3 linked regions of the Coturnix japonica genome follow. The protein of the gene in region 1 purifies or fractionates together with the protein of each later gene. This does not show direct contact. Links are inferred from orthologs where the notes say so. Each region holds a gene or a part of one and is shown on either strand. Other genes may lie near its edges. The genes, in order: KDR, CDH5 and SHC1.

Region 1 (8,101 bases):
ATGAATCAGTGACCCACAAACCTTACACAGGTCACTAACACTGGTGTCAATAAACATATGGGTTGTTTCAGTTTGTAATATTTATGATTTGGATATCTCTTAGGGCAAAAAGAAAATGTTGCGGATGACTGCCAGTCCAAAGATGAACACACTGTTTCCTTCTATAGACCTACAGCACTATTTCCTACAGTCAAATAAATAACATGCCATTCTTCCTGAGAAGTTCCTTACTTTGCGTGAAGCCAAGAACTCCATTCCTCTTGCCACCTGGAAGCTATAACAGATGAGGTCCTCCATGGTCAATGGGTTCTTGCAAAGGTCTTCAGAACCAGCTGCAAAGCATCAGACAACAGTCAGGAATGCCCTTTGTCACTGAATTTACCCATAACTGCTTCTTAGGTAAACATTCATCTTAACCTCATGTCACTGTAAACTGGAAAAGCAAATCAAGCCCTTCTTTCTTGGCTGTATAATCAGCACTAGAAACCAAACTAGACCTGTGAAAATTAAACTTTCAGATGATGAGTTTTGCCCCAGGCCTCCTTGCTTACTTGCAGAGTTCTCACCAGTGGAAAGATCTGTGAAACAATCACAAAAGAAAAACAACCAAAGACCCTAGCTCACAAGCTCCTAGGACAGGAAAGGCTTGCTGTGGTTTCAGCAGATGACTTTGGAAACTGATGAGAAGGCCCCACCTAGTCCTTATAGGGAAGCAATATGCCAAAGGGAGAAAGACTCAAGTTTGGCCAAAAACACTGCTAATTTTGGGTAGAATAAACCTAACCTCATCTTCTAGTAACCCTGAGGAATAACATACTTAAGTATCCAATGAAGATACCTCAACACTTAGTTCCTGCTGATAGAAGTATTCCAAGTTCCTCACAGAGCTCTAGATTTTTAGAAGAAATCTGCCACAAACTACAACTCCGTTGACTAAACCCCTCATCTCAAGGCCTACTTTAGGCCTAGACACTTCTACAACATTTCAGCTCAAAGACTCAGTGTTCACTCCAGAGATGTCTGCAAAGGACCATAGTGGTGTAGAAGTGCATAATGAAGATGGCCTGACATTACTTATTAAGATCAAATTTAACAGCAAAAACAATCTCACTATTAATATACTGATATTTTTCTTTGCATTGCATGATTTTCAAGTATCAGTCAAGACATGGAGAGTTGAGCTATGGCTTCCCCCTTTAGTAGTCTGATCCCACTACTTTCTGAAGTGAGCGCTCCCTGAAACACTTGGGCAGCACTGAGCACTCTGCACTACTGCTGCCAAAAGAGAAGATGGCAAATGTGGAACTGTTGAAGAGGGTATGTATAACCAAGGGAGGCTTTGAATGAGCGGAAAATTCAGGTTTCCTGTTCCTGGTGGACCACCTGCACACAGGGAAGGCAAACCAACTTCTCCGAGAATAAGCAGCAAAGCAGATGGTTTTTCATGATATTTAACTTCTGGGTAAACATTGAGGAAATTCATTTAGCTTTCTGGTGCATCCTCTTTGCTCTGCCTTTGGAAGTTGTGTCCTCTGATTTTTCCTGAAGACACTGGGATGCTAAATAGGCAGATCTCCAGAATGCAGTGCACTAAAAAATTCATCCCTTCTAACCTGGAATGGGAATGGGCTGAGGGTTCTGGAATGTTGAACTGCCATGCTCCACAGCTCAACAAATTTTTGTCATCCAAGAAATATTTTGCACACAGCTTTGAGGGAGATTTGGAAAACACCCCTTCCCTGATGCCCCTCATCAGCCTCTTCCAAAACCAGGAGAAAACATATCCTACCATCCTCCTCTTCCACGTCGCTCAGGGACCGCTCTTCCACAAACCCAGAACTTGTGGAGCTCTGGCTGCTTGTGATGCTGTCCAACCGTTGCTTCAGGTCTGTGGAGATGTCCCCAGTGTAGTTCTCCTTACCTTGCCGAAACCTGGCACTTTTCGTCTGAAAAGGACAGAGAAAGTGGGAGAAATCAGAAACAGAAATTGTAGAAAGATTCTCCAAGAGAGGCAACAAAGTTCTCTATAGCCCACATCATGAGCCCCCTCACAGCACCACACAGCCTGCTCCCATGGTCTCCCAGCTGCCCCTCACTGCCAGCTCAACACTGTTTAGAAGAAACCTATTTGGACAAGTATCAGGAATCTGGCTTTCACAGCCTCCTACCAAGTCCCTGTCCCCTCCAATCACAAAGCAAATGTGCTGCTGAATCTCCTACTGCATCACTATTGCATTAATTTCTGTTGCTGCAAAAACCATTTGACTAAACTTCTACACCTGTGCCAAAACCCTAGCTGCCCTCAAAATCTGATTGATCACCTTCTACCAGAGAGCCACCAAATTACCCTGGATAAGATCCCAGACCTGCAGACTTGCTCCACTACTGTTCCATTTTCTCAGTCTGGTTCAGTCTGGTTACTTTGCTCCCATGGCAGTGCTGTATTTTCCTGTTGCTGATTCCCATCCCTATTATTTTGGTGAGCAAGGATCATCACTCTTGTGAAACCTTGCCTCTTTCCTCGAGTTCCCTTAGATGTTTATCTTTTTTACCTCGCAAAAGGATGCAGCGAACTGCCTTTGCCAATATGAAATAGTAAACAATGACTCCAAGGATGAAGAAAAATAACGCTCTGGAGAACTGACAAACAAATTAAAGAAGCTCTGATCTGAACACAGCAACTGCAAGAAGACTGAAGAACAGATCTATCAGCGCTGCAGAGCACTGAGCGGCCTTTCTCTTGGCTGTGGGCAAAAAAGGGTAGAGTCTCAGGCATGTTTCCAGAATTGGGCACCTACAGCCATGCTCTTCAGCTGGCATCTGACCCTCGGAGTGGATGAATGCTGCATCCCTTCCCAGAAATCAGACCTCCTTGCAGAGGTGTACAGAAACGACCTCGGAAATGCCAACCTCCATCCTCCCCCTTCTTTAAAGCAGGATGCAAATATGAAGTGTTGTGATGAGAGCTCTTCTTTGTAAATGATTTGGAAGGTGAAAAACTCAGCAAAAAATTCATGGGATGCATCATTTATACAACACGATTAACAGCACAAAATGTGGGTAGTCTGGTTCAGCAATGAGGCAAGAGGAAAGTGGAAAGGATAATTACACAATAAAAGATATGTATGGATATGATGGATATATACACTAAGCAGGGAGTGCAGTTATTTAAGGTGGTCTGGAGCCTAACTAAGAAAGGAAAAAATTCAGGCTGATAATCAGAAAAAAACTTCCTGACAGATACAGCCAAGTGTAGAACAATCTGCCAAGGGAAATACTGGAAGCCCAGTTCCTTTGCACATTTTAAGCTAACAATAACAAAATAGCAACATTTCAGGGGCCAGGGGAAAAACCAGATGACCTCTGATGTCTTTGTCATCTCTCATTCCCATGAGAAGCAATGAATAGCCAGTATCCTCAAGAACTGCCACGGCATTCTCGCTAAGAAACAGACAAATTGTGTGTGGAAATTAAACACCAAATCAAACACTATACTGCACCTTGTATGGGATAAATTCACTCCTCTTGCTCCGTAGATATGCCGAGAGATTTCCAAACTTGCAGTATTCCACAATCACCATGAGTGGGCCTGCATAACATACAAAGCAATTATTTAGTGTGATCTTCTCCTCTTTTGTCCAGTGGAAGATTAATAATTGCCCTGCTTTTGATTGAAGCTTTTTATTACTAGTACCTTCAAATACTCTGAGAAAGTAGTAAAATGGTTTTTGAAATGCTGTTTTTCTAACCACAGATCATGCTGCAAGATAAGGTGGATGTATATACATGACCTAGTGGGAGGTGTCACTGCCTCTATAGGTAGGGGGGCTGGAACTAGATGACCTTAAAGGTCCCTTCCAACCCAAACCATTCTATGATTCTGTGATTCTAGGATTCTATAAATGTCTGGGTAGTTTAAGCCCTAACAACTTAAATCAGGAACTCAGTTTCAAATACAGATGCTTTAATCTACAATCAAAATGCGGTATTTTGTGCTCCTATAAGCATTTATTACAATGACAGATTTCCACCCTAAGTTCCAAATATTGCACATATCAATTTTGTTGCGGAATAATCAAATAAAGAAATATTTATGGATTATGTTTCCTTCAACTACTGCACTTTTTTCATGGAACTTTACAAATTAAATTCTGATCACACGGTAAATCAACAGTTCAGCTTTCCTGAAAAATTATTACTGACTTACTCCACACTGAATTTCTTCCAAATTAGCATTCAGTGCTGAATTTGCTAAATGAAACATCTGTCCTAGATTATAAAGTCAAGTAGGTTCATGCACCCAGAGCTGTACTTCAAAATGCAACCTCCCCTCCCACTCACACACAGATACACCCACCCCCTGTCCAAAGCCAAGGAGGGAAGCCATAACTTGCAGTTGCACTGTAGCTGGTGGCAAGAATAAGACCAATTTGTGAAATCTCCTACTAGACTCATACCCAGACCCGGTTATATGCAAGGCATCCACTGTGAAAGTGGATATGAGGTACTGAAAAGTGAAGTGAGAGAACAGGAGTGTTGAAGGCTTCACAAAATTGAACAAGAGATGGAGCTGTACATACTACACAGGGCTTTGAGCTCTTATCCCATCTCTGGATCTGCTACATTTACCAGGAATTGAAAAAACAAACAAACAAAGAAAGGGGGGCAATTTCTTCTAACCTTAATTTTGAAACCCAATAATCAAGGCAGTAGAAATGGCAGAAACTGAGAAGTTACTCACCTCCTGGCTTTGTGCAGGCTCCAAGCAAATTGACAACATTGAGATGATGACCAATGTGAATGAGGATCTTCAGCTCGGACATAAGTGCTCTGTGCTCACTGTGAGTTGCACCCTCTGCAGAGGTAAAACAATAAAGATCAGGAGCATCACAGACAGAAAGGTTCTCCTCCTCTCTACCTTCTCCACCATTATTTTTCCATCTTCTTTAGTGAGAAGTCTTGTTGGCTGGCATCCTGCATCCTGGATCAGCTCTGCTGTAGGACACTGATGGAAATTAGCCATACACACTACAAGGTTGGCTTTGCTCTACTTTTGAGCAAAATTTGCCAAGGGCAGCATATTAGACCAGAGACACCAACGATATTGTCAAATACCCTTTTTTCCCCACAGAGCTTTTGAACAACTTCTACTCTGCCATTTGACCCCAGCAGCCAGCCCATGCAGCTGACTACAGCTAGAAGCTCTGCAACTGCTCATACTGCACAGTCAGAAACCTGCCTGCTTTCCCATCCACCTCCATCACAGCAGAGGGTGGGATACAGCCCCTGGATGCAGGGAACCCTATTTTCTTGTATCAGCTTCTCATAACTGCTCGTCATTTTGGAACATGTCTAAAGCCTGTAGAGAGCCACCCAGTCAGGCTGCATCCAGAAAATATGGACACTTGAAAACATTTATCTTATTAATGTGGGTAAGTCTAAAAAGCAATGGCTATAAAACCACAGTTGTGTTACTCCAATTACTGATAAGGCAAAGGTATGTGTTTACACCAACTGTTAAGATAAATTTTAATACACTATTGGTATGAGTGCTTTGATTGTTTTTGGTTCATTTTTATCTTTGCTGGTCACAAGATTGGCAATATCCATATATAGTGCATTCAAGGTGAAGTCTTAGTTGTATTTTTTACCTTTAAGCATTTTGACTGCCACAGTTCTGCAGGTAGCAGTTTTGTCAATCCCAAAGGCATCAGCTTCTATGACTTGGCCAAAAGCTCCACGCCCAAGAGGTTTACCTTGAAGTGAGAAGAACAGACTGATTAATTTGCCTGGTACAGTGGTGAAAAGATACAGAATAAACAGCAAACTGAATTTCTATATGAGAAATTAACAGAGGACTGACAGTGGGGAGAGGTTGTATTAGATCCTGTGGGAGTTTGGAGCGCTCCCAGCAGGCTGTGCATCAGGGCAGTCCCATTACCACCCTGAAGCCCCTTCTAGTGCAAGGCTGGCTGCAGGGTCATATAATGCTCTGTGCAGGGAAGACACACCTAGCTTCAGTCGGTCTCTGGGAAACTCCCACTTGCTGGCATCATAAGGCAGCCGCTCGCAGTGCTCATCTAAGGGGACTTCATCAGGATCCATGATGATTGACAAGTACCCAGTCTTCATGTCACCTCCATTGGCCTGGAAAAATGGTATTAGTTGTAAATGCATAGGTTTTTTGGTGGAGATATTGCAAAGTGCCAGTTTCTCGCTCTGAAGTGCTCTGCCATTTCCCAGAAATGCCTGGCTACCATTCCCCTACACAAAGTCACTGGGAGTGCGATCATCAGTAATTACTTGCACTTTTTCTTTTCTTTTTTTAAATAAACAAAAACAGCTGAAGAACTTTTTCTCTCACGAAGGCCTGTTCAATTAAAACCAAATTTCTGTGCCCTCAGTTCCAGGCAAGAATGTTACAGCATGGAGAGAAAAATATGTGTCTGTTGATTTAAGAACAATGGAAAGAAACAACACAATAGGATTCGAGTCAGCTTTCATTTGTCATGCAAGACCAGTGCTGATAGGACAGTACAAGAATTTTTTCATTACCCGCTTAACGGTCCGAAGGATGATTACAAGAAGCAACCAGAAGAACATGGCAATCACTGCAGTGCCAACAAGGATAATGAGCTCCAGATTTGTTTTCTCTTCAGCGCCTGGGAAGAAATAAATGAATATCTGAGTGATAGCTGGAAGCGTATTGGTTTTGTTCATTTATTTAATCGCAGAATGGAGGTTCTTGTTCTGAAGGTTTGTTTTTAAAGTGCAACATGGAGCAAGGAAAGCAAAATGAAACAAAAAGCTTGAGTTTAATGTTAGAATGTTTTGCTTATTTCAGTCACACAATTTCTTAGCATCAGTTTTGTTCCATGGGCAGAATCTGGATAATTAGCAACCAATACAAAGTGAAATTTCATATTTTAAAAGTAAATGATTGTGTCAGAGCACCCCAAATGAAAAATTATGTATTAAGAAATAGTAAATAACGTGCTGAGAATAACCCAGAGAGCACTCTCTCACACATCTCTATTCATGCTTCAACTGGGTCATAAAAAATGTGGTTCTACAGCAACATGTAGAAATGAGGACTTAAAACAATACTTGAATATCTAATGTGAGCAGTAGCTCTCTTTTCTTCCGTTCCCATTCTGCACATCATGGTCTTGAGTGTCACCCTTTGTACCACACACATTTTCCTACACAGTAGCACACTCCATTTCGTGATCCCAGTGAGCTGTACTATACATTATTTGAAGAGAAGCACTATGCAACACACAGATTTCTGACTTTTACAGGCCTTTAAGACATGCCTCAGCTACATTTACCAACTCAGCTGAAATTAACATCAGCTACAGATAACATCCCACATAAATGTTATTGCCCTTAATACATATTAGTATCCTAATGAGAGCTGTGAAAATACAGGATAGTACTTTAATTGCCCTAACGTAATAGAAAATCATCCTCATTTATAAGACAGAGATCAGTGAATTATTCAGTAACTACTTTTCACAAATATACTAGTATCAAACACAATGAGCTTTTTACTTGAAGGTTTCTACTTGCGGAATCCTAACCCTTGATGCAAAGTCCATCACAGTTCCAGTTACTCAGACTGGAGTCTAACCTCTTATTAGGTTTAATTATTTCCTACCGCACCCTGCATTTTGGTGGGCTACAAATGAGAAATGGGTCTCACAAACAATTTTGAGCTTGGTAAACAAAGCCTGGAGTTTCCAAACCCCAAAACACTACCTGTTTCTATCAAGAAAATGGGACAACAGTCACAACATTGTGCACAAAGACTTCACTCTTTTTCCTATTTTGATGATGATAACAAGTTCATGCACAAACTGGAAATAAGCAGATACTGACCTTGCACTGAAAAAAAAGCCTCTGCTTTTTTGCATCCAAGAATATTGCAGGCAAGGCAGGTGTACAGCCCTCCGTCTTCTTTCCTAACTCTACGTATAGTTAGAGTTTTGTTTCCATCTTTCAAAACAATTCCTAGGAAAAAATAAAAATCATTGTACTCAGTTCGGTAGTTCTTATGTTGGTTTGTGATAACAATGCAAAATGAAACCTTGAGATTAAA
Region 2 (8,101 bases), on another chromosome or scaffold:
AATTGATGCAATAAACAAGATCTCTGAGCAAGATAATTTTCTACATTGTACTTGGAATTGATTGAAAATTCCATATGAATCTTTTTTTTCCAATCAACAACAACAACAAAAAAGAAGTTTTATTTTAAATCAATAGTTTCTATATGAAAATATTGACTACAGCATATTTGATGTCAGGTCATGTCAAAACATTGCATTTCAGTTTGTCAAACTCTAACATTTCATTTCAAGTTGAGTTAACATGAACTTTGATCTGGCTCAGTCTTGGTGTTGCTTCCCAGGTCAGCTCCCTCCCATGAGCTATGAGCCAGTAGCCAAACCAAACTTTCTGAAATGCACAAAGGGTCATCTTTGCTACTGTATGTTCTCTTCAGATGAACTGTGGTAGCCCAAGAGGATGCTGAGTTTTATGGTAGCTTTAAAAACTTGCTTTTTTTACTTATTCAATTTTTTAGTGCTTTTTACGGCTGCCGAATCATCTGTTTGGAACTGTTTTGTGTTGTGAAAGTTTTTGTGCCCGATATTTCAATTTTTGATTCTAAGGCAGATTGAAAGAAATACAGAAAGTAATCAAACCTTCCTCTAGAAGGAAATTCAATTTGCACTTCCATGCATGCTTTCTCTGATTAATCTGATTCTGTTGTTATTTACACAGTTCTCATGCTTTCTATTACTCCCTAGGCTCAGAAGAAGATGAAGAAGCTTATTCTGCTTTTCTCACTGTTCCTGGCTCCGGCATTCTCTTATAAAGAAAATCAGAAAACAAAACAAAACTTTTCTTCAAACAATACCAGTCATAAACGACTTAAGAGAGACTGGATATGGAACCGAATGCATATCAGGGAAGAGATTGATTCACCATTACCCCATCATGTTGGCAAGGTAAACAGCAGCCTCTTAGCAGAGAATGACTGGAAATGCAGAGAACAAATGAGTGTCCTGAGAAGTATTACTTCTTTGCAGCCTAGCTGAATTAACGGGGAATAAACGGCAAATAGAAATGGGACTGATGTAGTAACATTACAATCCTAAAATGAGGGCAGAGTGAATCAAGAGCAGCATCAAAGGAATTATAATTCTTCTAAAGAATACAGATAAATTTTAGAGAATGGCAAGCATGGAGCATCTGCAGTGAAGAAACAACTGCACTGCATGCAGGTGCAGAGTAAGGAAGAAGGTCTGGCAGCTGATGAATATCAGTGTTTTTCTGGTTGCTCTTTCAAAAACCTGGGAGATCAGCTAATAAAAACATACGTATTAAAGACCACATAGCTTACATCCCTCAGCACAGGCACAAAAATAAAGTGCACTTTAGGAGTACTGTTACACAATCAAAAATTTGTTTCACAAAGTGAAGGAAAACAGTTTTTGAAAGTAATAACAAGCATTGACCTGACCACAAACTCATTTTCTTCAGGGCAATGCTCATAAAATCCTGTGATTAACTGCACATCACCCAGATAAAGTTCTCCCAGTCTAGTCTTTCAAATTGAACTACTTTGACACTTCTCGGATAAATGCAGTTCTACATTTTCCTTCCATGTGCAACAATCAGTGTCTGTCAAGGCTGTTATGGTAAAGTGAAACAGACCTTTCTGGATCAGTGCTGCTCATTGGCAGAAAGCACGAGAGAGAGAAAAGAGGCCACCGGGTACTCAGCTACCACAGGATATCTCTGTTTCATTTCAGACCAATTCAGCAGCAGATTGAGAGAGTTTTTATTCCTGGTGCTGTCCTAAATAAGAGTAATTCACTTTGTACTGTGCTCTGTGGTCTTTCAAAAGCGGAATGTGTCTGATTACTTTTGCAGTGACTGTGTACAGTGCATTGCATTTGCAGGATTGAACACTTGATAAATCCTTTTAAAAGGCCACAGCATCAGCATGGCCAAACCGAGCGACAGATGCAGGAATATGCTGATACATCTGGATTTTATCTTTGATGACCTTGGAGGCTTCAATTTGCATGTCCATCCTTAGATTTAGCAAAGGCAACCTTGGAAGCTGTACCTTTCATACCAAATAAGTAAATAGAAATTAAGAAAGAAGACAAAGGCTGTACTATCTTTGAGACAAGGGTGAGATTCTTTCTCCTGTTACAACTCCAGAGTCACGAGCTGTTGTTCAGCAGCACCAGCAGTTAGAAGCATGATTAAATGTGTGGAATGAGGAAAGAGAATTTTAATAGCACATTTCAAAATAAAAAACATAAATGAAAGAATGTTCAACAGTAAATGACAACTACGGGATAAATCAAATCCTGAATACCAAACAGCTGCAATTTATGATAATGTCAGTAACAAAAGACTAGAAAATCTTTGTCAAACCCAACAATTATTGATAAATAGCTTGCTGAAACAAGAATGCTGATATAGTGCACAGAAAATTGTGTTCTAAACTTTATAGCAGCGTTCTTAGAGGAGCGTAGATAGGAAAGAATCATCAGATTATGTCCAGATTAAAAGAAATAATAATGTACAAAACCACCTGGGACTGGATTAAATTACACATAAAAACAGACTCATTTTACCTTTCACCCCACCCTTTTTCATACAATACAATCTTAAATTTGAAACTCTGTGGAGTGAAAACTTAATTTCACTGCCATAACCATAAAGACCAACTATGAAGAAATGACACATGACTAAACACAAGAAAGCTGTCAGCCATGGCAGGAATTCTGCTAAATGGCAAACAATGGAGAAAAATGCTAAATAATGTTTGTCAGTAGCTGTGAATAAGGATTTGTTTCTGTCATTCTGTGAAATCCAAGCAAAATTCCACTTAGAATTCTGCTACATTCCAAAGATAATTTGCCAACAAGTGTAGCTCCATGTAGTGGTACCTACATTTCTGACACAATGAGGCTGACAGTTTTTATCTGTAACTGCATGAACAATTTATATCTTTAGGAAATATAAGGCATAACCTTAAAATAAAACATTCCTGATATATAAGCAAACAGGTTTCAGTCTGGATGCACGTTTTATCCTATTCTGCATTGCTGGTTTGTCCAGTAATATGCCAGCTGTCATCAAAATTCCCAATGGTTTCAAACTGAGTCTGAATAAGAGGTCATGTTTATGTGTATCTTCTGGTAGAAACTGTTTTATATTCCAAAGCCACAGCTCACTTTTATCTCTTTGAAATATACTTTCTAGCTCACGTCGAGTGCAGGGAACAAGAATGCTATGTATATTATTGAAGGTGAATCTGCCAACACCATCTTTAAAGTGCAAGGGTTTGACGGCGACATATATGCTTTTGAGAGGCTGGACAGAGAAAAGAAAGCAGAGTATGAGCTGACAGCACACATTATTGACAGAAGAAACAACCGATCACTGGAACCGCCATCTAAATTTATTATCAAGGTTTATGATATTAATGACAATGCTCCCATTTTTGTACAAAAGGTATTCAATGGATCTGTCCCAGAAATGTCACGATTAGGTAAGGTTCTTCCATTACTCGTTTTCAATTCTTTCCTTGGCTAAAAAGCAGAATTTATACTAAATGTGGTGTTCAATAATCCTTTTCTAGGAACCGCAGTTACCAAAGTGACAGCTGAAGATGCTGATGACCCAACGGTTGCAGGTCATGCCACAGTTACCTACCAAATCATTAAAGGAAATGAATATTTCACAGTTGATGATTCTGGTAGGTCAGATATGCAAGTGTCAAATGTTGACCTTATGCTTTCAGGAAAATACAATTTTAAGCCATCTTCTTTCAGGACAAGGGAGATAATTACGCCAAGAATTTAGTTTCAACTGTAATTTGGAAAGATTTTACACTCACACTAACACAGTGTCACTGTCTACATCTAAAAATGAACCAATAAAGGCATGATTGTAGGTACCAAGAGGTAAATGACATGATCAGGTCAGGTGATCCCTACTGATTAAGAGATCAACTAGGAGCCAATATAACTCTATGTTTTCAGTTCAGCACACATATCATTCCTTTGACCAAACTGATAAAAGAGGAATAAATTAAGAAATAGCACTCCTAAAGAATAGCTGACAAAACCTCTTAAAAAGCAAATGGCAGATGGTAATTACAACACCAAAAAATGCCCTACAGCTTTGCAGACTTGGCACAGGAGGGATGGGTTACCCACTCCTTAAGTTAGCAGAAACCTGGAGCAAGTCAGTATATACAAACAATGCATCTTATTAGGCTGATTTTGAAAGTTTGTTTCTGGTTTCTAATCAGTAACTCAAACCTTTGCTTTCCTAAACTTTTTTTGTTTAAAGTTTGTCCAGATAAAGAAATAAACTCATTATCTCTCGTAAGCTGGTTCTCTGGAGCAACTAAAGCAGATAAGGAGGTGATCAGACATGCACTCCAGGCGCTGTAGTGACCAAGCTTAGACATTATCAGCTGGTTTCTGAGCAGCAAAGACAAGTTTAAAGAAATTTACTGTACAAAATGTCCTGAATATTTCATCATTTCTAATAGTTTTAGCCTTAGAAAAATATAACCATAAAACTGCTACTTAAAGGCAAATGTGTCATAAGGTAAAAACTCGCTCTCAAAATTAAGACATGAAAGTGTTACAAAATCTAATCATATTCAATATTATTTTTTAAAGGTGTGATTTCCACAGCCAGAGCTGATTTGGACAGAGAGACTCAATCAACATATGAAATTATTGTTAAAGCAAAAGATGCTCTAGGGCTTACCGGGGAGTCAAGCACAGCTACAGTCGTTATCAGGTTAACAGATATCAATGACAACTTCCCAGTATTCAAACGCCGTAAGTATACTGTCAGGGAAGCATCATTTAGAAACCATGAGCTGACATGAATGAAAGAAATTTACATTAGGCATCACAATTCAATTTTCCTTTAAAGTGAACAAAAGATTCTTACATATTCAGACGCCTTTCTGCTTTTCAGCACTGGCTTCATTTCCTGGTAGGAGTATATCTAGAGCAGAAAGTAAAAATCAGTATTAACTTTGGTAACTTTATAAAGAAACCTGACAATTTCAAGAAGTAATTAAAAAGAAACATTTAAGTACTGTCTGTAGAGACTAATAACACTGAATTCTCAATCATTCTCTGTGTCTATCTATGAACCAAGAAAAAACTTTAAGTTCTAACTTGTTCCATGTGCACCGTCATTATGACCCCATTGTTGCTTTGTGTTTTTTTTAAACAGCATCATTTCACTTTAAAGTTCCTGAAAACGTTTCAGTAGGAGGAGAAGTCGGCCGAGTCGAAGTTGAAGATATTGATGAACCACAACACAGACATACAAAATACATTTTTGTCAGAGGAGATTACAGGGACACCTTCGAAATTGTAGCAAATCCATTCACCAATGAAGGAATCATCAGACCAAAGAAGGTACTTTTCCCAGAAACAAAGAAAAATATGATTTTGTTTTTCCACATTTAACAAATGTTTGATTCGGTGTGGGGCCAGCAGCAGGAAAAAATGGAAATGCATGAAAGCCACAGCACAAAAGGTATTCAACCTGAACACCTCATTCTGTAAGCCCTGAGAGGAGAGCAGGCGATTTACCAGCCTATTTCACCTGCCAAAACTGGGAAAATCTGAGATTGCTGCAGAGTGCAAAGGGGATATTTGGATGCTCCTAACAGTCTGTGAATGCAGCAGTTGAGTTGACCAAGTCAAAGAATCAAATCTTTCTATTCTGCAGCCAAAGGGAAACCAGAGCAGGAATGTAAATGCGTACACCTGACCCCCCCTCTAGAAGTGCTCTTTGCCATCTAGCATTGCTCCCTCCTGAGCCACATCCTGCTTCCCTGTCTCACCTCTGAGCACTGAAAGCTTCCCAACTACTGCCTGGTAACTCTTACTTAAAAGGACGCAGGCTCTCCCAAACCTCTAATATGGCTTGCTCTTTGTTTTTTAATTCTCAAACCTACTTAATTTGCACCAAGAAACATTCCTGCACTATACAGGGCACTTCCAAGCCTAAATTTCATTGATTTCATTGATATATGGTGAAAAAAAAAAAAAAAAAAGATGTAAGACTATAAATTACTGTGAGTAATACTCAGATTGACATGAGTTTGTGGCTTTTTTTTTAACTTCCAAGCATCTCTATGTAGCGATCAGTATTAGAGATACTACTGAGATGGGAAAATTCCATATAGAAAAAAGCAACAAATATCCTGAGACTGGCAAATCCTTCAGCAGTGGCCACACTGTGCCAGCAGCTTTCCTTCACCAAACACATGTCCCCTGTTACCACAGGGCCTGAGACATGTGATGCTATCAGCCTGTGCCAAAGAGCAGCAGCAGCAGCAGAGATCTCACACACACACTGCCAGAGGCAGAGACAGCCCAGCCTTCACCAAGCAGTGGGCAAAATTTGCCCCAGTATCTTGCAGCACGCTGTCAGGCACGCATGTACATCAGAGTTTTAAACATACAGTCAGGTGAGATACAGTTTCAACTGATAAAAAAGCACTGTCATTTCCACGTGCAATGTCTATTCAAACAAAAACACAGTCACCATGATTAACTACAGCATATTTCACAGTGTGTTTATAATCTTGGGTGACAGGGAACAGGGATCCAAGCTTTGAAACACATGATAGCAGGGGCATTTCTTACCACTCTAGCTCTTGACCTTCCTTCCATTGTGGGATTCCATCTGTAATCAGTTATGGTGAAAGTAAGGAAGCAAATATCATTTATCATCAGATTCACCAGCTATGGAGTCTGCCCTGAATGAAAGGACAGGAGAATCTAGTACTTGACCCAGGGAAATAGGAACTAAACAATTTTGGTATCTACAGAATCATAGAACAAAATTACTCCTTGCAGAACTTTGAATGCTGAATGAATCTGTTCAAAACCTGAGGTTGCTCCAGCCAGTCCATTTATGAAAGGGAAGTTCAGCTGGATATGCATTCCCCAGAGTCTTGTCAAAGTGCGGTTCACTAGTATCTCCCAACAACAGCACAGACCTTTACTTTGCAGAGTTAGCTAATTTTGCCTAGCCATCACCAAAAAATATCTATGTTTCTCTTTCTTCTAGCCCCTGGACTTCGAGAAAGTAGCAGAGTACAGGTTTGACATCGAAGCAACAGATCAGAACGTTAACACTGCCTACTACAAACCTGGTGGCTCCAAGAGCATTTCAACAATTACCATTGAAGTTACAGATGTAGATGAGCCTCCTGTCTTCGCCAAACATCAGTATGAATTTAAAGTACGGGAGAATGATCCTGAAATAAAAACACTCGGCTCCGTTCAGGCGTATGACCCCGACGCAGCTAAACGGGAAATCAGGTAACGCAACACCAGCCTTAGTGGTTCTATTTTTAAGTAGAGAATTTGCTAATGATTCCAAGAATTTGATGGAGTATTGAGACACTGACCTGATTTTTCAGACATTTGCAAGCAAAAGAAAAAATCCAATCTGACTTTTCAGCCACTGCAACTATGGATATATACAACAACCAAGAAACACGAACATGTTACTTATACACATGAATTCATGAATAAAACATTTCTACATTTAAATACATAATCTTGGATATTTTCCCACGGTTACAATAATCTACTGTTTATTGCAACAACTTTCTTGAGTATGTGCTTTGTAAGGAAAAGAAAATAGACTTCTTAAAACAGTGAAAGCCCATAATCTGGGAACCTTGCAGAGGGATATGTTATGCTCTCACAGCTTGCATAAATTTAGGGAAATGTTCTGAGGCTCCATAGAATCATAGAATCACAAGGTTGGAAAGGACCTACAAGCTCATGTAGTCCAACCATCCTTACATTAGTATTGCTACCACAAGCTGCTAAACCACATCTCATAGCTTCTCATCCAGACACCTCTCGAACACTGCCAGGAACGGGAACTCCACCACCTCCCTGGGCAGCCATTCCAGTGCCTGGCCGTTCTCTGAGAGAAAAACTGTTTCCTTATCTCTGATCTAAACCTCTTCGGGTACAACTTGCAGCCATTTCCTTGGGTCCTGTTTGTTGCCTGGGAGAAGAGGCCAAGCCTGTCCTCATCACAACCTCCCTTCAGGACGTTGTAGAGTGAAATGAGGTCTCCCCCGAACCTCCTCTTCTCCAGACCAAACAATCCCAGCTCATTCAGCCGCTCTTG
Region 3 (8,201 bases), on another chromosome or scaffold:
TTTATGGCTGTGTACAATGAGCACAGCATTGTGGCCGTTCAAACCCATCCCCTTCCCCTCCTGCTGGCTTTTAGCACAGTGCTGTCCTCTAACCTCAGCCCCAGAGTCCAAAGGGCCTCGTCATTTCTGCACTTCCTCTGCAGTCAGTGACCTGCTGCTGTTGCTCATTGCCTGGCCCTGCCCAGGATGGGGCTGCGGCTGCCAAACAGCCCCTCTTATCTCACTGCCCCCTGGGCTAATCTCATTAGCGCCCGCCTGGGCTCCGGCGTTGGCTTTGCAGGCCCCAGATAAGGACTTATGATTGCTGCAAGGAAGTAAATCGTGTTTGTTGGCCTGATCTGCTTGACTGACCCGGCCCCGAGCGGCTCCATGGTGAGGGTGGGAGCGGCGCAGTGTTGGCTGGGGAGGGCAGGGGTTCTCATTGTGCTCCTGCTTTGCTGGCTGTGTTTTCCTTTCACCGCTGCCCTTCTCTCAGAGCTTCCTGCCCCTCCTGGCTCTGCTCACGTCTGCCCTTCCGTGGCCCCTTTTCCACCTCTCCTTCCTTAACACCAGGATCCGTTTCACACGCTCCTGCGGCCACATCCTGGCTCCTCCCTGGGGACTTTGTGTGTCCTTTATGGCAGTAGGTGCCAGCCTTGGGGGGGGGGGTGGTGGTGTGGGCAGGAGCAGAGTGCTCCTCTATGTCTGAGCACCTCTTCTCTCTCCTTTCTTGCCCTCTATTTTTGGGTCCTGACATCTACAGGGCACTGGTGCTTATTTCAGGTCACAGAGTGACTGTAATCGAGGTCCTTTTGCTTCAGGGTACAGCCAACAGGTGGTTGCCGACACCATTTGCCTGCAGGCAAGATCTGAGCCCTGACTCCAGCTTATCCCCGTGCTCTCAGCATCCCAACACCATCCTTCCCAGCACAGGGATGTTAAGAAGGAGCTATGCCCTGGTCTCTTTGCCCCTATCTACCTGCATTCAGTGAGAAGCCCTGCTCTGTAGGGCTGGCTAACTCACTGTTTGTCCCTGAACCGCAGGTTGGGCTGCCAGACCAGAAGGGCTGAGTGTTTGTTCCCTGCCCTCCACCGGCGATGGAGTACGTGGTAAGGCCGGCCAGCGCTCGGGACTTCGGTGGAAGGGTTAGTTGGCTTCGGTGGCGGATCCTGCCTCCCCCCTTCCCCCTTCACCACCAGGGCCAGCCTCAATTCCAGGCCTCCTCTGCTGGTTTTCCCCTGCCCCCATTCCAAGGAGGCTGCTGGGACGTTCAGAGAGGTTGCAGACAGGAAAGCATCGCCGCCATGTGACGTTGTTGTAGTGGTGTTGAAGGGAAAATCCAGCTCTTGGCTGGCTCTCAGCCTTTCTCTTTGCTCTCCATGCCGTGCTGCAGGAGGACAGGGCACGGGACAGGCTCCATCTCCCTATCTTAGGACATAGGGGTCTCCTGCCCTCTGTATGCAGCCAAGCTGTGTACGTGTGGCAGCCCCCGTTGCCTGCGTGCTCCTCGCCGCGATTACTTGCCAAACCACTCGCGTGTTCCAGCTCTCTGACTCAGCTCCTGCTTTGTGTTTCCTGGGAGGATGGCAGGGCTGCAAGCAGAGCCTGGGGGGAAACATAGGATCCTCCAAAGCAAGGCGGTGGGCACAGCTCTGTTTGCTGTGCTATATCAACCCCTCTCTGTTCCTCATCCCTTTGGCTGTGTACGAGGTCACCCACAAGCACACGGCGTCCCTGTGTCCTGCATATAAGCAGGATCTGGTTGAGCCTCAGCTTCCAGGCATGAGGAGCTGCTCTGCTGCAGGGCTGGGAGTGCAGTGCCAGCCTGTCTGGTGAGACAAGGGGCTGCTGGGTGCTGCTTAGGGGTTGCAGGACCCGAATCTATGGGGCTGAGCACGTCTTGCTTTGCCTTTGGTGCTCTGTGACCCCTGGGTAAGGGGCTGTGATTATTGGGGTGGGCTCTGGAGCTGTGGCAGTTGAATCTGGTTGTGCTGACGTGCCTCATTCCCAGCCAGTGCTGTTGGGGGGGGGATGTGTGTGAGCTGTCTGGCTTCAGCTTTCAATGCAGGAGGTTGTGATAAAATCAAGAGTGATTCTGTTTTGTAGAAACAGAGCTCTGTGAGAAACGGGCACAGCTCGGGGCACTGTGTGTGCCGGGAATTGCTGCTCCCTGCTTCCCATCTGGGCTGGGGTCCAAAAGACCCCTTGCCCCTTTATCTTAGGTAACAGACAGCCCCTGTTTGCAGATGCCTGCAAGCCTTTATGCAGGGGATGCTGTGCCAGGTGGGACCCCCAGCCCCATATGTACAAGCCAATTAGGTCCTATGGGGGCAAACACGCTGCCTTGAGCCTCCCCAACGCCGCCCAGCAGAGCAGGGCTGGCGGGTCTCTGCTTCCTGGCTCCCCGGCCCCGGGTTTCCTGCCTTTCTTCAGATCCATCTTACTGCTGGCCATGGGAAGGTCATGGCACTGAGCTGCCGTGGGGCCCTCGGGGGGTAACAGAGCACATCGTGGGACTGTTCCTGCAGCACCAAGGTGGGGGTTGATGGGGCTGTGGGACCCGTTGGCATCGGAGCCCCCACATCGTGTGGGATCCCAGCTATTTCCAGCCTATTCCCTGCCTCCATTTCCCTGTCTCTGTGGCTTCATGCCAACGTTTGGGAAGCGGGGCAGGAGGTTCCACTGTTGGGGCTGAGCTGGATGAGCCCTTCCCTTGGGCTGGATTTGCCTTGAGTTCAGCTCGGTGTAGGGTTCTATGGGGGTGCCCTGGCCTGCAGGTGGGTCAGAGGGGCCCAGAGACCCCCTTTGTTGGGGGGGAGGGGGGTAGGAGAAGCATGGAACAGCTTGGGTTAGAAGGGGCCTTAAAGCTTATTCCAAAGGGCTGAAGGGGGATCTCTGAGGTCCCCATTGCTGGTTTGCATCAGGTGGGAAGGAACGAGGAGGGGGCAGACTTGCCCCATTGCCCCCCATTAGAAAACTGGGGTTTCTCCTAGCTTTGGAAATGGGTGAGATTTACCCTGGCGCCATCAACACGCTCTGGCTTTTCCCCAGCTCCCTCTAGCTCCGCCCGTGACCTTGATTTTTCTGCTCCAGATCCTCGCCGGGTCCCCACCCCTCCCTCTGAGCCCCTCCTGCGTTGCTTCCCCATCCCCTCACAGCACAGCAGATCCTTCTCCTCCGCCTGTGAGTCAGCACAGCCCTTCCGATCAGCGGCAGCCCCTTCTTCCCCTCCGGGAGGAGCCGGGATGCGGGAAGCAACAACCATCATCGGCTCCCGGCGGCTCCACAGCTGAGCCCGGCTTCTCCCTCTTTACACCCACCTGTATCCTCCTTTTGGCCGCTCTCCTCCTCCTGTACCATCCTGGAGCTGTGCTGGACATCCCTGCATCCCTCTGGCATCGCGTTCCCCCTTTGGCTTCAGGCGTCGCTCCCCACCCCATCGATCCCGGAGAGCCAACAGCATCTTCTCGCTGTCGGCACGTGGCTCGCGTAGCACCGGCTGCTACAGAAGGACCTTGTTCGCTTCTGGACCGTGCTCTGAGCAAGGCTGGGCAGGGCTCGGCCGTGCTCTGTGGCTGCCTTGTCTCAGGGCTTTAAATATTCATGCTTTTCATTTCCTCTGAGCTGCTGGCAACCGCTTGCGAGGAGGAGAGAGCAGGGGCTGGAGAGCAAGCCGGAGGGGCAGCGGTTTGGGACTCGTTTATGGGGCAAAAGGGGCCATGCTGAGCCCCTGCTGAAGACAATGGGATTCGTCGTGGGTGCAGAGAGGGGCAGTGGGGCTTGAGGACCTCCCAGCTGTGTGCTGGGTGTGCTGAGACCCCCCCATCACCGGGTGCACCGGGAGCGGGGCTTGCTGCCCATCTATCCGGATCGCTGACGCTGGTTGCTATCGATCTGCTGGGACTGCGTGGAGCTGGTTCTCCTCGTGAGCCATGAGGGGCTGGAGGGTGCCTGGCATGGAGTTCAACCTTAACCTGTACATGGGGGAGGACTCCAGGAGGCTGTAGGCGCTCTATGGGGTTGCTGTGAGGGGTGGGCATGCTCCAGCCCTTCTCTCCTCTTTCCACAATGGATCTCCTGCAGAAGAGCAAATACAGCCACCTGCGGAACGAGTCTGTCTCCTCCCTGGAGGAGGCTGTGGGAGCCTTGGGGACCCCAGTGTCCCCTGTGGAATCCCTTGAAGGCATTCGGTCACTGCCTGGCTCGCTGTCATCCTCCTCCCTCAGCCCCATGCTGCCTCTCGGGGAGCTCTCATCCGAATCTGAGGACAGCCCCACCACCCTCTGCTCTTTCTTCCCTAAAATGGCCAACCTGAAGCTCTCCAACCCCGCCAACCTGCTCAGCCTACGGGGCTCATCGACCGGCAGCCTTAAAGATACTGGGAGCTCAGGGCAACCCGTCCTAACCGGGACGCTCACACCGACACCAGGGGGAACAGCCAGCACTAACTCAGTAGGACCTGTCACTGTCTGTTCCCAGGATATGAACAAGCTGAGCTGTGCGAAGAGGACGCGGGTGGAAGGCGGCCAGCTGGGTGGTGATGAATGGACCCGCCACGGCAGCTTTGTCAATAAGCCCACGCGGGGCTGGCTGCACCCAGATGATAAAGTCATGGGGCCTGGGGTCTCCTACCATGTCAGGGTGAGTGCTGGGGTGTCTCTATGGGGTGGGAGTGGGCTTTGGGGGGGGGCTCGTTGTGGGTGGAGGTGAACAGCACAGTGTGGGGACCTGTCCCCTCTTTGCTTATGGGCTGCCATGGGGAGGTGGGGGAGTCAAAGCGAGCCAAGCCCGATGCTGACCCTGCTCTCCTCCATAGTACATGGGCTGCGTAGAAGTCCTTCAGTCCATGAGGGCTTTGGATTTCAACACAAGGACTCAGGTCACCAGGTGAGCCCTGGGGTTGTGTTGGGGGCTTGGGGCTGCCCAGGGTGGGTGTGGAAGTGGAACCAGGCTGTCTGCAGCCATGGAGGAAACTGCCAGGAGATCGATGAGCCTGTCAATGAGCTCGGTCAGGCAGGAAGCACTCCTGCAGCTGCATCAAATATTAACAGCTCGCTCTTCCCCTGTCCCTGCCGGGTCTGGGAATCAGCCTGCACTGCCTGAGGGCTTCCCTTTTGTTCCATGCTTAACCCTGTCCCTTCTGCACTGCTCCTCGTGTCCTCTGCCCAGCGGTGCCCCATAAATATGGCATTGATAGCAGAGCTTTGTCCCTGTGCTGATGCAGGAGGGGACAACAGGGACCCCCAGGCTGACGCTTTGCTTTGCTCCATGCAGGGAGGCCATTGGCCTGGTGTGTGAGGCTGTACCTGGTGCCAAGGGAGCAGTGAGGAGGAGGAAGGTGAGGCTGGACTTGGGAAGCTGCTGATGGGAGCAATTTGAGGGCTGGATCTCAACCCAGCCAGCAGTGCTTAGGGGCTCTGATTGCCCCCATGGCTCAGCATGGAGTGGTGGTGGTGATGAGTTGCCTAATGCTGCTGTTCTCCCCCAGCCCTGTGGCCGCTCTCTGAACTCCATCCTGGGCAAGAGCAACCTGAAGTTCGCCGGCATGCCCATCACCCTGACCATCTCCACCAGCAGCCTCAACCTCATGGCCTCTGACTGTAAGCAGGTGAGAGAGGGAAGCTGCTGTGGGCTGCACTGCTGCCTTCAAACAAGCAGAGATCCATGCATCCCCTTCAGGCCCTGCTGGGGGTGTTCCCATTCTCCCTGGGGATGTGTGGTTTATCTGTGTTTCCTGCTGAGTGCTCATCTCCTGGTCCAGCATGTTCCACCCCATCCATTCCTGGTAGCAAAGGGATCTGAGCAATGCCCTGAATGCCTTGTGGGATCTGTGCTCTGGACCTTGAGACCCAAGTCCCTCAGCCTTGGATGTCTTTTAGTCTCAGTAGCTCTGCTGGTGTCTCAGCCCTTCCTCTGGTTGCCTATGGCTCATAACCAGGGCTCCTGAAGTTTGTTATCCCCACACTGGGCCAGTGCTAGGGTGGGCACTGAGGAGCTGCACCTAACAGTGCTTCTACCTTTCAGATCATTGCCAACCATCACATGCAGTCCATCTCCTTCGCTTCTGGGGGTGACCCGGTGAGTTACAGAGGTTCCCCAACCAGCACATCCTACCCTGTGCTGGGGATCAGAGCCTCTCCTGCCTTCTCCCCTAAGTCTTGGGCACTGAGCAGCCCTGGCTCATCACCACTCTCTCCCACAGGACACAGCTGAGTACGTCGCCTACGTTGCCAAAGACCCCGTCAACCAGAGAGGTGAGGCTGGAATTGCAAGAGCCCCATTTTGGGTGCAGCTCAGAGAGGGATTGGGTCCCTGCAGGGAATCTCTGGGGTGCACAGGGTGGGATCAGGGGGTGTAGGATTTAATCCTGCTCTCATCTCGCTGTTCCCTTCCCAGCCTGCCATATCCTGGAGTGCCCTGAGGGCTTGGCCCAGGATGTGATCAGCACAATTGGACAAGCCTTTGAGCTGCGCTTCAAGCAGTACCTAAAGAACCCCCCGAAGCTGGTGACACCCCACGACAGGTAAGAGAAGGGAGAGATGGGGGTCCATGAGGTCTATTGGTGCTGGGAGGGGATGCAGGCCTGGCTGCTGTCAGCTGTTCAGCTGTGTGTTGTTCCCTTCCAGGATGGCAGGGTTTGATGGTTCAGCCTGGGATGAGGAAGAGGAGGAGCCTGCCCCAGATCACCAGTACTACAACGACTTCCCTGGCAAGGAGCCTCCTATAGGGGGGGTCGTGGACATGCGGCTGCGGGATGGAGCTGCGCAGACCCCCAATCACCTGGGGGCCACACTGGTAAGGCGCTGAGCGTGTCTGCAAGGGGCTGCTGGGGAGGTTCTGCTATATAGGGGAGATGCAAGGACCCCAATGGGGCTGTGGGCTGCACAAAATCCACACCACGCTTCTGTCCAGCACCTCTGGCAGTCCATACTGGGGTTTGGGGAGGGGTAAGAGTACAGCAAGGTCTTTTGGTCTCACCATGTGCCTCTCTACAGCCTGTTGGCCAGACGTCTGGTGGGGAATTTGACCCCAGGAAGCAGCACGGTCCCGCTCAAGGTAATGTGATGGATGTGGCTGGTCCCCATAGGCTTTCCTGGTCCCAAAGTGCTCCAGCAATAAGTGCTGGTGCCGGAGCGCTGCTGACCACAGCGCTTTGTGCAGCAGGAAGAGAGAAATACCCACCTGCAGCGGGTGCGTCCGGCCGTACGGACCTATTTGATGACCCATCTTATGTGAACGTGCAGAACGTGGACAAGACACGCCAAGCAGCAGCTGCAGGCAGCCCTGCAACAGCCAACGGCAGCGCCCAGCGAGACCTCTTCGACATGAGTGAGTGGGGACAGCAGCTGCAGGCTGTGCACTCTGTGCTGGGTGTGTGATGGAGCCCCTTCCTTTTCTCCTGCAGAGCCATTTGAAGATGCCCTTCGTGCCCCCCAGTCTGTGCCCGTGACCGTTCCTCCTGCCCAAGTTGTGGCCTCCATGGAGGAGCAGCTGAGGAGGGAACCGTGGTATCACAGGAAGATGAACCGCAAAGAGGCTGAGAAACTGCTGAAGGTGAATGGAGATTTCCTGGTGAGGGACAGCATCACCACCCCGGGGCAGTACGTGCTGACCGGCCTGCAGGGTGGGCAGCCCAAGCACCTGCTGCTCGTCGACCCCGAAGGAGTGGTGAGTCTCTATAACCCCAAAGCTTGGGGGGCCCTACATCTCCCCACAACCCCACCTTGGGGACACCTCCGGGCTGGCTTAGGGGATGGAGGAGGCCTGGTAAAGCATAGAGGGGACTCCTGGGTGTATCTGCAGCCTCTTGAGTTCCCTATTCCCTGCAGGTCCGGACAAAAGATCATCGTTTTGAGAGCGTCAGCCACCTCATCAGCTACCATATGGACAATCACCTGCCCATCATCTCAGCTGGCAGCGAGATGTGCCTGCAGCAGCCAGTGGAAAGGAGACTGTGAGCTCCAGGGGGGCCTCGGTGCGCACCCCCCCACACCCCCCAGCCCTGCTTCCCACCCTGGGGAGCACCTGGACTCAGCCGGGGCTGAGCGTGGACTGCCTTGGGGATGGTCCTCACCCTCCCACCACCACCACACGAAGCTGGCAGCCCTGGGCTGCAGGCAGCGTGGTGTGAGCTGCCTGTGGGGCCGGGGGGCTGGTAGTGCCAAAGCCCCCTCCTCTCCTCCCAGCTCCAGCCTTTTGCTCAGCTCATACCAAATCCCGG

What was found.
Region 2: the proteins of KDR (region 1) and CDH5 purify together in Homo sapiens (affinity purification with western blotting; 3 studies listed by BioGRID and IntAct, with this or other methods). This does not show direct contact. The link is inferred for Coturnix japonica from reciprocal best matches to the Homo sapiens genes KDR and CDH5.
Region 3: the proteins of KDR (region 1) and SHC1 purify together in Homo sapiens (affinity purification with western blotting; 3 studies listed by BioGRID and IntAct, with this or other methods). This does not show direct contact. The link is inferred for Coturnix japonica from reciprocal best matches to the Homo sapiens genes KDR and SHC1.

The regions. Positions count from the first base shown.
Region 1 is NC_029519.1:58,815,385-58,823,485, reverse strand, and holds part of KDR (vascular endothelial growth factor receptor 2), read right to left. Parts: intron 8,014-8,101; coding exon 7,882-8,013; intron 6,663-7,881; coding exon 6,556-6,662; intron 6,148-6,555; coding exon 6,012-6,147; intron 5,757-6,011; coding exon 5,652-5,756; intron 4,856-5,651; coding exon 4,742-4,855; intron 3,590-4,741; coding exon 3,501-3,589; intron 1,947-3,500; coding exon 1,790-1,946; intron 333-1,789; coding exon 232-332; intron 1-231. UniProt on the Homo sapiens protein: Tyrosine-protein kinase that acts as a cell-surface receptor for VEGFA, VEGFC and VEGFD. Plays an essential role in the regulation of angiogenesis, vascular development, vascular permeability, and embryonic hematopoiesis.
Region 2 is NC_029526.1:10,021,004-10,029,104, reverse strand, and holds part of CDH5 (cadherin-5), read left to right. Parts: intron 1-681; coding exon 682-882; intron 883-3,160; coding exon 3,161-3,449; intron 3,450-3,539; coding exon 3,540-3,656; intron 3,657-4,593; coding exon 4,594-4,758; intron 4,759-5,164; coding exon 5,165-5,352; intron 5,353-7,018; coding exon 7,019-7,272; intron 7,273-8,101. UniProt on the Homo sapiens protein: Cadherins are calcium-dependent cell adhesion proteins. They preferentially interact with themselves in a homophilic manner in connecting cells; cadherins may thus contribute to the sorting of heterogeneous cell types.
Region 3 is NC_029540.1:1,432,441-1,440,641, forward strand, and holds the start of SHC1 (SHC-transforming protein 1), read left to right. Parts: upstream 1-3,117; 5' UTR 3,118-4,018; coding exon 4,019-4,621; intron 4,622-4,796; coding exon 4,797-4,867; intron 4,868-5,254; coding exon 5,255-5,318; intron 5,319-5,468; coding exon 5,469-5,588; intron 5,589-6,004; coding exon 6,005-6,058; intron 6,059-6,182; coding exon 6,183-6,234; intron 6,235-6,376; coding exon 6,377-6,503; intron 6,504-6,606; coding exon 6,607-6,775; intron 6,776-6,975; coding exon 6,976-7,036; intron 7,037-7,141; coding exon 7,142-7,309; intron 7,310-7,385; coding exon 7,386-7,648; intron 7,649-7,809; coding exon 7,810-7,938; 3' UTR 7,939-8,201. UniProt on the Homo sapiens protein: Signaling adapter that couples activated growth factor receptors to signaling pathways. Participates in a signaling cascade initiated by activated KIT and KITLG/SCF.